Schizosaccharomyces pombe: one gene and its partners. Changing the gene in region 1 together with any one later gene gives a genetic interaction. Each region holds a gene or a part of one and is shown on either strand. Other genes may lie near its edges.

Region 1 (3,721 bases):
GGGATAGAGGTTTCCGAACCAATATTCTCAAAGGCGGGTAAACTGACAGGCTGATGCGGCTCTAAAGACAAATCCTTTAAAGTTACTTTCTCGGAAGCCGATACTTGTGGTTGTGAAATCGGCCTTTTATTTTCTTCAATCTTATCATGAATAACTGCATCTTTATCTCTAGGAGTATTTGATAATTGATGCAAAATTTCAAGGTTTTCAAAGGGATCGTAATTTGAAGATTTGGGGGTGGAATTGGAGTCCGGAGTTCCAACTTTCTGCCTTTCTAGTTCTTTTAAGGAAATTTTATTATCCGTTTTCTTTTGAAATAAATTAGCAAAAGGGTCTTCGGGCTTTGATGCTTTCAATGGAATTTGTGCATTCTTTTTCTGGGCTACTGGGGCGGGAAGGGAGTAGGATGGCGTTCTACTATTATTATTACTGTAATTATTTTGATTAGATGGTGTAGATTTATCGTAAAAATTGAAATCTAGCAAGTCATCCATGTTGGAGGCTTTATTATGGGAGTGTAGTGAAAGTAGGTTGAACTATCCAAGAACTTAACGTACTGAGTGCTTTCCACTTTTGTCGGCATCAGCTAATTTTCCTTTGATCCATGAAGGAAATTCTAGAATTGCTTGTATTTCCGCTTTTTTCTGGATAAACAGCATTCGCTGTAGCTGTTCACGAACAACGGGCTCCTTTTGGAAGCCTTCAAATTGTAATAATGTTGTAATCATTTTAATATCCCTTTTATTCAATTTTAAAGAGAATTCTTGGTTTTTATTAAAAATGTCCTCATACAGAGGGCCTAAAAGCTGTAAATTTCGTAATTGACTGTGCGGTTCATGACTGTAGGCATTAGAACCGTACTTGAAACAGGAATAAATGCATAAGCCATGGGGGTCCCAATCAAAAATACCAAAAAATTTAGCATCCGGGAGGGCTTTGGCTAATTTAACTAAAAATTTTCTCGTCATCAAATCTGGAAATCCTTTAGCCTGTTACAAGCAATTAGTTAGCTAGCACTCTAACATCAATATCATTGAAAAGGAAGCATTCTCACTTACTGTAACAATTATTGTATCCGCTAAAGCCTCTTCGGTTAGCGTTTGGAATACCGCTTCCTTTTCGATGACCAAGACCCATTTTGCTGTGGAAGTGATTGATGAAATTCGATGGTGAGAGATTAATAATGGCTGTATTTAGTAAAATTCTTAGTTAGAAAAAACAATTTTTACGGTTATTAAAACTTGAACCTACTTTAGTAGCAGTAATTACTGTCCCGTTTTCAAGAGCAATATGAATGGACCCAAATACCAATCCTTTAGCAGATGCTTCCTAAGATCAAATTAATCGTTAATGAATCTATTTCCAAAGAAATGACTTACAACGTTAAGGTCGGACCTGGAGCAACCAATGGTGTTTGAAATATCTCCAAGCAGCTCATCGACTACGGTTTGTCGCTTGAATAAATCTACATCTCTGTAATAAATATCTCTGCAAATGTAATTAGAACTTAAATCTGAATTTTCGGCGTATAGTACAAAGCAATTACCGCTTAGTGATTACTGTATCCGAAATAACAGCTTCATGAACACAATCTAAAACCCTGAATAGTTGAGCAATTGTTGTTTCATTCCTGGGGAATGAAAAAACCTTAACTTTTTGTCTTTCATTGGCCTTTGAATCTAAGCTGCCATTCCAAGAATTGTGCTTTCGTCTTTTCAAAGCAACATTTACTGAATCTTTGGTAGGCTTACTTAATTGCTCAACAAAATCATGAACAAATTGCTCAATCCATGATCTAACAACTTTTTTTTTATCATTCGAATTCATTTTTTTTACTTTCTGGACGCGTTCAGCATTCTTTGCATTGTCTAGATAATTATGCAAAGCGCGTATGGTTACAGTGTAAAAAATCAATAGCTTAATTCAAATAAGCTATATCTAAGCGAGATTGTTTTCTGAAGAAATGATACATACATTCAATAAATGGGTAATATCAAGGCGAAACAGTATATGTGTTTTCGTTAACTGCTAAAAAATACTTACTGAAGACTTTCCTTCTGATAAAATGGTGTAAGAGAAGACTCACGCGAGCTTTGCGGACTGAATTGGTAAATCGTAAAGATGGATCGAAATTTGAAATTCCTAAACAACTTATGTTCTTGTCTACAGAAAAGTTGAAAGAAAAGTAAATATATTTGAACTCTTTCGAGTTCAAATGCAACATACGACAACTAAGAGCCATAGATCAAGCGGTTACTTAATTTATTTCTATAGTTTTAATTTTCTATAAAAATATGTATATCAACTGTTTCAATAAATATTGTACTTATAATTTCGTTTTGCCAACTCCTTTGTCAAGAGAGAAAACGTAATTAAAAAACATGGTCACAGCCAGGTTCGAACTGGCGACATTCGACTTATTAGATCGACATGATAACCGACTACATCATGCGACCAACTGTTAACTTGATGATTATTTAAACCTATTTATAATAACATTAATGTTAAAAATATGAATGAAACTGACCTTTTTATACAAAAGGTATATATATAAACAAGAAGGACTTTCATTTTAATTTTGATAAGACAGTTTGAAATATCCTCCAATCCAATTTAAGATTGTTTCTAGTTTACAGATTTTCAAATCAGGAATTACTAAGTCATTTGCAACACTAAACATGAAGAAGTAGTCTAACTCACTATCTGCTCGATGTATATGTTAGCATATGCTTTCCTTGTGCCAGCCCTAAAGAGAAACTGACAGTGGTTTGCTTTTGCAAATGAAAAAATAAAATTGGAGAACATACAATTGTACGAAAATGCTACCTATCCAAATGGGTCTTTAACGAATTTTTTAAGCTTAAAAGTTGCCATATGTAGTGTGTTTGCTTGATTCATTAATAGTCATTTATTATGGTGCAATACTTCGTCAAGACAATAGTGATAGCTTTTTTAACTTATTGCGAGAACAGAAGATAGCAATTAATCTGATGTACAAATAACGATAATATTCTAATGACATCAATGGAAAACAATAATGAAAATAGGCACTCCATATTGCTTCCCGAAATTTGTACTTGTGGCATAGCAGATAAACAGGACGAACTAGATAAAAAATGAGCAAGGGTTTCTAAAGGAGAATAATTTCATCAAGTTTTTTTTTTTTGCTTCTTCTTAATAAGTATTTAATACTCAAGAAAACGTAGAAACAATTAGGCAACAATAGCACTGTGGTTTACAGTTACCCTTTCTTATACAGAAAAGATAGAGGTTATGACAACTGTTAAAACATGGAATTTTGCATGATGAACCGGTATTACTTTTGTAAGTTAATACAATAACAAAAAGATAAAAGTTAATAGAAAATTTAGGGAAAAAGAAGTGCAAAGCTCTGAGAATCATTCCGATATACTTAGACAATAGTAAAATAAATAAATACTTAGAACACGGACGGATTTTGCAATTTTAAGAATTAGGAAGTCCCGTAGATATTATTTAGAAGAAATTTTCCAAAGCATAAACGAAGTAGATAAGGAAAGAGCATTTTTGGAAAACAAACTTAATGGTCAAAACTATGACCAAATTAAAAATTCACGAATTCATAAACAAACCCAAAAAACGAAGACATTTTCGATATGAGCAATAAGCATATAAAAGGGGCTCTATGATATGGGTTGGTGGGAAAGAATGCTTAAAAGGGATTGTCGTAAAACTGGTAAAT
Region 2 (2,962 bases), 2.0 Mb from region 1:
CAAGAGATTGAACGGTTTTTGCTAGTTCGTCGTTGGTTTCTGGTGTATCGAATTTCAAAGTAGAAAAATCTTTGCTAAAAATTGTTAGTAACCTAGATAGTTGTGATGACGTTGAACAGTCATATATTGTCTGAAACAACGTAGGTAATTATACAGAAGTTGACCAAACTAAAGAAAGAACGATTGTCACAAAGATTGTATATAGTTTTTGGAAAGAATACTCATTAAACGATCCATGCAACCATCCCCAACCTAGTTTTTACAACAAAGTACTTACTGCATAGCATAAGCATCTTCACCATCAGCATAATATTTGCTTTCAATCCCTTGAACGCTAAAATAATGTTAGAATCTCTTCAATGATGGCGAGTAAAAACATACTCAAATTGCAAAGTATCACGATAAAGATGAATAGCAGCTCTGTTGCTTTTACGAACATGAAGACTCATATATTTGGCGCCATAAACTTCGACCATGGCTCTTTCTGTTCATTTAAGTAGTTAGTATCTTTTACTTTTTTTAAAAAAATTTTGTTTAAGGAATGGACCGAAAATATCAAGGAATCAGCAGGAAGGAAACATTGTCGAAAACAAATTAGGTAAAAAAAATGAATTGTTGCAAGGAAAAAACCAACTCACCAAATGAACAATTCAAAGTATTAGCAGACCAAGTCTTGCACAAAATAAAATATATACATATTGGAATAATCATCGATAACAACTGCAAAAAAGCTTAAGATTTCCCTCTAGCTCCTCCTTGGATATATCCGTAATCTACTTCGCTCTCAATTAACACTTACGACTTTGAACCATGAGACGTTTAGCAAGTCCTAGATGACGATAGGAGCGCATTACTGAGACACTTGTGATATGACCATGAGGGATCCCATCCTTAGGCTCTTCTTCCATTTTTGCAAGAACATATCCTACGACACGTCCTTTCGGATCAGTAGCAACATAAGAAAGCATAGGCCAAGAAATAGCATGATAAAGGTCTACATTAAATTAGAAAATAAGAATCATTGTTTTAATACTGGAAGTTCATTGCCGTGCAGCAAGAATTACAATGAATTGAACTTACAATATTTTAACTGATAATTTTCAGGCAAGTTATGTAAGTTGCAGTTCTGCATCCCAGTAAGGTCACTTATACGAGCTGGCCGAATATCCATCTTGCCAATCGTTTAATTTTTAGCAATATCTATGATTTTTGTTTGTTAGTGGTTGGAATCAAATTTCCAGCATACCATATTTTAAGAAAGCGCAGTGAATGTAAAACGAAATTCAGGGAATGCAAAGCAACTACTGCAAAGCTTTTAGAAATGATAAGATTCATTTGATGTTAATATTATCTGTCAAGTATTTTAACGTCAAATATTTACTGCTTTGCTAAAAAAACTATGTTTTTTGGAGACTCACAATGTTCGACGTTAAGCTCCTTTTAAGTTACAAGCCGTTTAGTACACATTGCATAACCAAATTTCTAATTACTTAATGTTGCGTTTCCTAAGTTGTTTTGATTTTCAATGCAGATGATGAGAAATCCTTATTATAAATAGACAATGATGTTTACGATGGATTGCACACTTAAAGACATTAAATCAAAACTTTATATTAATTAGCCATTAATTATATAATCTAAGTTAATACTTATAATCACCATAACATATTTTGTTTACTGTGGAATCAAAAAGGATTAGCGATGCTTGATTGAATCCTTTATTATCTTAAAGTCACACTACCTTGGTTTTCCTTTAAAAGTTTTAACAGCAGCCTTGTGGTTTCACTTAGGCTAAGTAAACTCAACGAAAAAACATTAAGATTTGTTATTCGTAAATTCAGCTAGTAGACCTCGAACATTAGGTTTTCCCATTGGTAAAAATGTAAACAAAACCGCATTAATCATATAAAACATTAAGCGAAAAAAAACAATAGATTGCATTTATGGCTATAAATAATGAAAACGAATTAGAGTATAAATTAATAAAAAAAAACAAGAATCCTAAAATATCAAATTCAAAAAAAAAGAATTCGACACGTCCAGCTTTACAAGACAAAACTAATCAAACATTACCAATTCATCAAAATCAAGCCTTTTCAAACATTCTTCCATCTGATTTTTCAATAATTAAGACACCTGAGACAAAAACTGCTGACGATTTCCCCGTAAATGGTTACGAAGGCTTAAACATTTTAAAATTTGATCTCGAGTTATTTTACAAACTTAAACCTGTAGCAACGTCGACCCCGAAGTCTTGCATGAGGACGGGCTCCAATTTATTTTTAAATGAAACTGTTAAACATGTTCCAGATGAACGGTTAGTTTCAAACATCAAGAATACCCAAACAAAGGACTCTATCACAAGAGATTCTGCGTATTATCACAGAAAAACTATGACAGAAAGCATAATCAAAACACTCGCTGCATTTGATGCTGAGGTTGATGAGATTATATTGTTTTAAATCTCTAACTGACACTGGAATATAATCGTACTTTTCAAGTACTAACGCATCTATTTTTCATATGATATATTTATTAAAAAAGATTTACAAACCTGCTTTACAAATCAACCTTGACTACGATTTTATTTATACATATCGATCAGGACAAACGATAGCATGTTCAACAATATTTGACGCGAAAGGCCGACAAAGAAAAGTGGATAAAGTCAGCGCATAAATTTAACCTTCAAACATTTCTTTCATTTTAAAAAAGCAAGTAAGGAAAGCACATACTTTTCGGTAGTCTACATACTCGGTAAATTAAGATACGGATTATGCTATAATAAACAGAAAAACATCTAATTATCATTTAACACTTCTTTACGATGAAAAGACCGCATATTCCGTGGTTCAATCGTATATTTCATGAGATTATTCTGGTTTTCTGTACTGCATTTTTTCAACCCGGACCTCTCCATCAAAAATCCTATAAACATAAAGTATTAAAACTGCTCCTTGAA
Region 3 (3,700 bases), on another chromosome or scaffold:
GCGAAGAGACTGTTCGACCGCTTTCCAGGTACGTTCAAATCCTTGTAAGGAGTCAGGAATCTTAGTTATTAAGGTGATATCTTCACGTTTAATATTCACATTTTGATGGCAGAAATCTTGAATGGCTTGTTCACATTCTTTTTCATTTCGATATGTAATTGCTGAATCAATTACGCGAATACCAAGCGAGAGTGCCTCAATTACTTGCTGGTAGCAATCCTTAAGTTGATATACACCAAAGCAAAGTTGTTCCTTTTCAAAATTGGTTTGAGAAGGAGAAAATGGTTTCATTAACGTAAGTTGAGGTAGATGAGAGAGCTCAATGTATAGACAAAAATATTTTCTAAATCCCTAAACCTTTAAGTAGGAGATTAAAGGAAATTTTTTATATATTTAGGATAATTGTAAAGAATTATTCAATGGTTATATAGCTAGGCCAGACAAGTTCATCCTCAATAATACGTTTAACTTTTTCCGATACAAATTTCTCGACTTTAGCAACATTTTTTAGCAGCTGTTTATTAGATTCTCCAATAATACTTTCCACTGTTAAATCTCGAATAACACTTGATGCATGCTCTCCAGTTCCGTGCAGCAATGTATCAACGAAGCATAGATGCGTCCGCTTTCCCATTTTAGCCAAAACAGCAATGGCATCGATGGAAATCCTAATAAATGAAAGTTTGAATGGAAGAACTGCAAATTCAGAGTTCGGGTAATTCATCGATAGAACCGCTTCCAGGCTTAGATTTGCGTCTCCGTCATAAGATACGTGTGCAGTAACTTGGAAATCGTTAGAACGATCTCTTTCTTGATGATTATCCATTGGAGTACTTGGGCGACTTTCAGGAATTGGGCTTGTGAGTCCACTTGCAGATAGAATCCCGGGTGAATTAAATGCGGGATTAAAATATGCTAGTCTTGAAAATGGATGTTCAGCAGCGTAAGGTGGAAGATCCGTAAGCACTGGTGAAACATTATTGCGGGAGCATTGATCACCCTCTAGTTCTTGGTTAGCTAATTCGAAAGCTTCATTTTCATAAAATTGGGGATCAGGATCGCCGATTTCTTGAATAGTAATCTGAGGTGAGACTTTGCCGAAATGGAAGTCAACAACCTTTAAATGCTTTATATAAGATGGTAGCGACAAATTCGAAACTTGTCCTTCGAGAAGATGTAAAACTTTTGCTTCTAATTCTGAGTCTAACTTTGACCAATCAAAGTCAATAGACATTGTTCTGCAATTGTAAAAAAAAAATACGAACTCTTGAATCTCTCAATGACGATTGTAGCAAGTTTTCAAAATTTAAGTAATTTCTTCGTCAACTTGGTTAATGAAATAATATTTAAACCGGTTCTCTAAATTTTATACGAAGACGGCATGAATTTGATACTTTAAACAAAATCCTCCAGCAATTTTAATGTCCTTTCCTTCAATGTTCTTTTTTACTCATCGAGAATTGCAAGTGAATTTTTAAGATATCTATTTATCTTAAATATTACCTTCTGTAGGTACCAAAATCTTTTCTCCTAGTATTGTCAGTAGAGTTAGGTGGTATTCCCAGATTACCTTCTAACAAAGCCTACGCGGTTTAAAAAAGGTTAAAAAACAAATTTGTAAATTAATAAACCTTTTAGTTTATTACTATCGTAATTTGTATAAACATTTAATTTTTTGGAACCACCAGTCATGTGCTTCAGTCTTCTTCTACCTAAGTTCTTGTTGCTTGCTGTTATTTTCACCTTCTGCTAGTAAAACGTTTTCAACGTTTATCTGGAATTTGTGGTATTTCTTCATTTCTATAACAATTAATATTCAATTCATTTAATTATTTGAAGTTAGAGTTTAAACATTCAACTATTACACTCAACGCGTTTGTTGACAAAAGTTACGCGCTTCATTGCATCTTTGTTATAATTTAACATTCACTCTTTCATCTTCGAATTAGTACTTTAAAACGATTTAACTGAAAATGTCGCAAACAATTAACTCTGAACTCAATGAAAATGCTACTTCACAGTGTAAAGAAGATTTGAAAGTTTCCCTAAGCGAAAGTGATTTACGTGACTCACAGGGTCAGTTAGGAATAGAAAACCCTCCTAAATGCAATAACAGTGGCAATCACTCAGATAACCTAGGTTTTATCGAGCAGTCAGAAACAGTACATCCAGAGAATGAGAAGGCTTTGACGCCGGACCTGCGAGATACAAAAATACATACTTCTTTACCAATTACTACACCTTTTTCAAAGAAAAGGGCTCGAGAAGCCAAAAATATACTTCTTAAGCCGTTCAAAAGCCCCTTAAGACAAACTGCCAGTCCTCAAGTTGCAGACACTAATCTAAAACCATCGTTAGCTGTAACAAATCTTAACTCTGATGAAACAAACACTTCTTCAGAACCTGTTACTTCTCCCTTAAGAACAACGCCTAATTCAATAAAACGGCAAAAACGACTTTTCAAGTCACCTATCTCTAATTGCCTTAATCCAAAGTCCGACCCTGAAATCACACAGTTGCTTTCTCGTCGTTTAAAACTTGAAAAAGAAGTCAGAAATTTACAAGAGCAGCTCATAACCGCCGAAACTGCACGAAAGGTTGAAGCCAAAAATGAAGATAAAGACTTGCAAACGTTGATACAGAAATGGAAAAATGCTGCTCAGCAAGCCGCTGAAGTACTTTTTAAACCAATGGCTGAACGTATTCGTTTGGCTGGAGGTGTTACTCAGTCCTTTCGTATTGAAGAAGGTGAAAATAAAGGGCAAATTCAGGAAGTACGAACTGAATTTACAATGAGTATGTTTCTAAATCAGTTTGGTGTTCCTGTTCATTTGATGTCTTTTGATGAAGAAAATGGTGATTGGAAATCGTAAAGGACTCCTTACTATTGTTAAAAAAATTTTCGTTCGTACTAGTTAGAAAACCTTTAGTACGAACTTAAATATGTTTAGCTAGCTTACACCAAAATCAAGGGTATACTAATTGAACGTACAGAGGTACCTTAATCGTTTACATACAAATTGCGCCGAGCTGGTATCGAAATTCTTTACATGTAACAATGAATCGTTCCAGGCTGAGTTTATGACTTTAATTTATATAATTATTAGCATTATACAATAACATGTCTCATTAATTTGAAATTTCTTGATTTTGAACCTTCTGGTTCTAAATTTTTTCTGGAGATATTTAACATTCAAACAACAAAAGTCGATTAATTGGCTGACAGACAACAAATATAGATCAACCAATTGAAAGATGAAAAACAAAATTTATTCAAAGCATGATTTAATCACCGACGAACCCTAACATACATATATTTTTTATTCTGCATCCATCGAGCAACAAAATTTTAAATTAGAACGCAAAAAAATCGAAGATACAATTTTTATTAAGCGCGGTTTTGTCTACGGATGATTCGCTCACGTCGTTCTTGAAGTCGATGCTGTTGATGGCGTCTCATTAAAACCAGTCCGACAACTACCACAATAAGCGTGACACACGCAGTCTCCAAAAACCTTCCATCAATGTAATCATAAGTGAAACGAATATCATTATAGGATTCACCCATCTCTTCAGTATTAGGCGAGGGCAAGGACTCAGACGTTTCTTGAGGGTCAGGTTGTTGTGGTGTACGATCTACTTGTAGTGTTGGTGGTTCTGGGGGAAGTTGTGAGTCCGGACCTGCCGGGCTTAGTATGTC
Region 4 (3,722 bases), 1.2 Mb from region 1:
TTGTATACTTGCTGGACCAAATGCATACGGAAAGCGGAGGAGGAACATCAATGCCGTGCACTTGTCCTATTCATCGTATTTTTAGTGGATCTCTGAAAAACGTTGTTACATGCCTAGATTGCAAGAAGGAGCGGGTGGCTGTGGATCCTTTGATGGACATTAGTTTAGACATCAATGAGCCAACACTTCAAGGATGTTTGGAAAGGTAAAATTTGCTCGTTTTTAGATTTTTTAACAAATATTATTTTAGGTTTGTTTCCAAAGAGAAAGTTCAATATAGCTGTCATAGTTGCGGGTCAAAAAATGCTATTAAACAATTGGTCTTTGACAAACTACCTCCAACTATTTGCATGCAATTGAAACGATTTGAACAAAATAACTTTGCCATGTCAACTAAAATAGATAAGCAAGTATCTTATCCAGCATTTTTAAGAATGCGCTACAACTTTAATCAAGATGATGTGGATTATCAATTATACTCAGTTGTGTGTCATAAAGGAACTCTCGACACAGGGCACTATATTGCCTATACATACTACCAAAATCAAGTATATTAAATTTTTTTTGAATTTTTTATGGAAATTTTTACTAATTTTTGTAGTGGTTTTTGCTGGATGACACCACAATTGTGGAAGTAAAGGAATCGGAGGTCTTAAATTCTCAAGCGTAGGCTCTTTGCTGTTATTTTTTTACATACTAACCAGATTATAGTTACCTATTATTTTACCATGAGCGTCAAATCCTATACAGTGATGAAATGACTGTTAAAACGGAAAATTGAGTTAGATTATGCGATCAGATATCCGTTCATGAACAATCATTATGAACCATGTAAAGTAATTGACTCAAAGGTTCCTTATTTATGTGGTTATGAAACATCATCACTTCGATAATCTAACTCATGAAGAAGCTTTTAGATTTCATATTGTTGAGGCCAGAAATGGCATTGGATTTGGAACCGTTACAACAGTCGCATTTTAATTAATGACCTTACGTAAATTTATAAAAAAAGTTAAAACTATAAAAAAAGAAACATGCTTTTTTTCTTTCAAAGTTAACAAATACTATAAGTTTGAGGAATTTGGACTTTTGTTTTGTTTCGTTTAATATTATTCCAACTAATTATAATTTTATCTTTTAAAAGCTAAGTCTTGTCGTCGAGTAAGCTATTTTATATGTAACTGTTAAAATGTATAAAATTTTAAAATATTAATAAGGAAAACAACTCTTTGAATTAAGGAAGCATGTCAAGTTCACAAAATCGGTAGTTGCAGATCGTCCAAATCCTCTGGAATGCTGCAATACTCACGAATTTGATTGGTATCGGCACCCATGTCTCGACAAAAAGCTATCAAAGTATGGATTTGATCGGTCCACAAATTGGCAGCTTCCATGTACTTTTTAGTATTCTCATTTTTTAATTCAAAGGTTTCAGGATTACAGTGATTTAAATTTGAAAGTTGTGTTTTAAGAAGTTTTAGTTCTGATTCTTTTGCATGTAGCAGTTCCAAAGTGTATTGATTGGCATCATTTTCGGTTCCTTCGTTATCCCTTTTGGATTTCTCGAAACTAATGTTTTCATCTAAAGTTTTAGATTTTTGTTTCAAATCATCAAGTTGAGCTTGAAGAGATCCGAGAACTGACTCTCTTGAACGTTTAGCATCGGAGGGAAAAGACCAGTAGTAATTGCTAGTGCCAATCTTTTCCGTTTTGACGATATTGTCGTCAACGAGAGACTGTAAAACGTCCTTTACAGTTTGCAAAACGATTTGCTTTTTAGAGCCCAGCTTTTCCACCTCCTTTAGTTGAAAAAAATCTTTCTATAAAAAAAACATAGATTAGCAATGTGGAAAGTGAGACACGAATGGGCAAAAATCATGTTTTGGCACTTGAACAATCATATCACGAACTTACAGAGTCATGGAAAATGGCCTCTAATCTTCTTCTTTTCTCTGCAAGCGATAGTCCCTTGGGAGGCATTGTTTAAAAATTTATTAATTAGTTTGAACAAATATGGAGTTTAAAAGTTTGTTGTGATGCAAGAAGTAGATGCTTTCTAATCTTTTGGAGAAATGAGAGTTTAGATCCCAAACATTTACTGAATGATAACGTAGTCTGCTAAAATGCACATCCGCACTTTCCAACTATGATATATACCCTATAATGTCTTACTATCGTATTGCAACATAATGCAATGCAAAACGTTATTCAGCTATCCTAATCTTTTTGACCCTTGAGGAAATTAAGGAATTAAGTGAATGGGGTTGGCTATTGTCGCACAAAAACATGTGAGGAAAACTTCCTTTTGCCACGAAATCGAAAAGACTCGAATACTGATAGCAGCATGATTTTTTTTTTCTCAAGAGCTTTTGTCGGCGCTCACCTTACTGTACGAATTCGGTTTTACAACCTTTTATTTATTTTTCACTTTATTATTTTCACACAGCGAATTTCAAGCAAACACTGACTGACTAACACATTTCCACATACACACACACACACACATAGCATTCATAAGAGCAACGATGTTTAATGTCAGCGCAAACAAAATGTGTATTGACTTTTGATAAGAGATACTCAGTCAATTTGTCTACTAATTTCAACTATGGCTGGGTATTAACCGGTGTGCCATGTTCGCAGCTAAATGTGTTTTAATCTAGATTAGAATATGGGAGTAAGTGACAAACTTTGGGAACCGCTTTCCCATGGGTAAAAACAGGTGTGAAAAGGATTATTGTTTTTATTACTAAACAATCGTATGCAAAGTCATGCGACCAAAAAGAGCGAGTTAGTTAGGTCATTAGATAAGCTTTTGGATGTTCGTAAGCTAAACGACTTGTCGAGCTAAAGTTGTTCGAATCCAATTACATGTTTGGAGAAGACGTATAAGGAGGCACGGTTGGTGGTTTACCGAACAAATAGTAGAAGGTATAGTAGACGTGCACATGTTGACACATTTTTATTTTTAGGTGATAAAGTAGGGTAGAAGCAAGTAGTTTGTTAAATGTGCGTTACGAGCTACGGTAAACATGTGTATTATCTCGGTCCAATGGACGTGCCATCGTTCGATCGCAACATAAGCCCCGCAGTCATTCACCTCACAAACCCTCGAATCGTACGATGTCGCCCTATTCTCAGGTAACAAAATTGGATTTCTCATTGGCTTAGTGGCTAATTCACCTTGACCAGAAAGAACAATAAGGTAGTATCTGAAAAATATGATTGGATAAAAAAGTGTAATTTTGAAGTGATCAAGTAGCATGTTTTTTTACGGATTTTCAGCATAAACAAACGGTTACACGGCCATTATGTTGCATATATAATTCTACCAACTCCCATCAGTCAGCGCGAGACCCAAGTTAGCTTGAATCGTCGTCGAAACCAGCGTATTTGGTGTCAAAGAGAAGATAAATCGATTCTTCACTTGTAGAAGTACCTTAAAAAAGACAAGATCTAAAATTTCTGTATCGATCGTTGTTTTTGAAAATTGTCTTTTCAAAATCCCAATCTCATTCGTTAAGTGAAAGGAAACGTAATTTTTTTTTGTTTTTCTTTCATATTATTGTCTGTTTTCGATTTCGTTTTTAACGCTTTTTTCTATTTGTTTCATTCGTTGTTCTCGTAGCTGCGTGTTAATCAATTCATTTTTTCTTTCTCCTTTTCTTTTTCAAGTTTATTTGCATTAGCTCAAAGGGTTGAACTATTTTTATCTGTTACACATT

The links.
Region 2: of rec12 (region 1) and moa1, changing one enhances a phenotype caused by changing the other (phenotypic enhancement), as found in Schizosaccharomyces pombe (one study listed by BioGRID).
Region 3: of rec12 (region 1) and sfr1, changing one suppresses a phenotype caused by changing the other (phenotypic suppression), as found in Schizosaccharomyces pombe (one study listed by BioGRID).
Region 4: of rec12 (region 1) and mcp7, a mutation in one rescues a mutant of the other (synthetic rescue), as found in Schizosaccharomyces pombe (one study listed by BioGRID).

Annotation. Positions count from the first base shown.
Region 1 is NC_003424.3:1,771,031-1,774,751, reverse strand, and holds rec12 (DNA topoisomerase type II (DSB-forming) Rec12/Spo11), read right to left. Parts: upstream 1,828-3,721; coding exon 1,547-1,827; exon of another isoform or gene 1,489-1,546; coding exon 1,380-1,488; exon of another isoform or gene 1,330-1,379; coding exon 1,252-1,329; exon of another isoform or gene 1,188-1,251; coding exon 1,059-1,187; exon of another isoform or gene 990-1,058; coding exon 549-989; downstream 1-548. Other genes in the region: UBA/TPR/DNAJ domain protein Ucp7, read right to left, coding at 1-494. UniProt on the Schizosaccharomyces pombe protein: Required for formation of the double-strand breaks (DSBs) that initiate meiotic recombination. Required for crossover recombination and chiasmatic segregation of chromosomes during meiosis I.
Region 2 is NC_003424.3:3,728,016-3,730,977, reverse strand, and holds moa1 (meikin), read left to right. Parts: upstream 1-1,943; coding exon 1,944-2,462; downstream 2,463-2,962. Other genes in the region: NatA N-acetyltransferase complex catalytic subunit Naa10, read right to left, coding at 1-74, 278-334, 382-484, 800-994, 1,081-1,171; retromer complex subunit Vps29, read right to left, coding at 2,874-2,962. UniProt on the Schizosaccharomyces pombe protein: Plays an important role in chromosome segregation during meiosis I by allowing meiotic rec8 to establish cohesion at the centromeric central core and thereby promote the side-by-side structure of kinetochores at meiosis I.
Region 3 is NC_003423.3:1,578,715-1,582,414, forward strand, and holds sfr1 (DNA recombination mediator Sfr1), read left to right. Parts: upstream 1-1,741; 5' UTR 1,742-1,973; coding exon 1,974-2,873; 3' UTR 2,874-3,166; downstream 3,167-3,700. Other genes in the region: SPOM_SPBC28F2.05C (xylose and arabinose reductase), read right to left, coding at 1-291; ERMES complex subunit, membrane tether and lipid transfer protein Mdm12, read right to left, coding at 413-1,234; hrd3 (HRD ubiquitin ligase complex subunit), read right to left, coding at 3,389-3,700. UniProt on the Schizosaccharomyces pombe protein: Involved in DNA recombination repair and meiotic chromosome segregation.
Region 4 is NC_003424.3:576,779-580,500, reverse strand, and holds mcp7 (protein Mcp7), read right to left. Parts: upstream 2,052-3,722; 5' UTR 1,981-2,051; coding exon 1,915-1,980; intron 1,821-1,914; coding exon 1,254-1,820; 3' UTR 782-1,253; coding exon of another isoform or gene 712-781; 3' UTR 667-711; coding exon of another isoform or gene 602-666; 3' UTR 553-601; downstream 1-552. Other genes in the region: SAGA complex ubiquitin Ubp8, read left to right, coding at 1-205, 251-548, 602-666, 712-781. UniProt on the Schizosaccharomyces pombe protein: Required for meiotic recombination.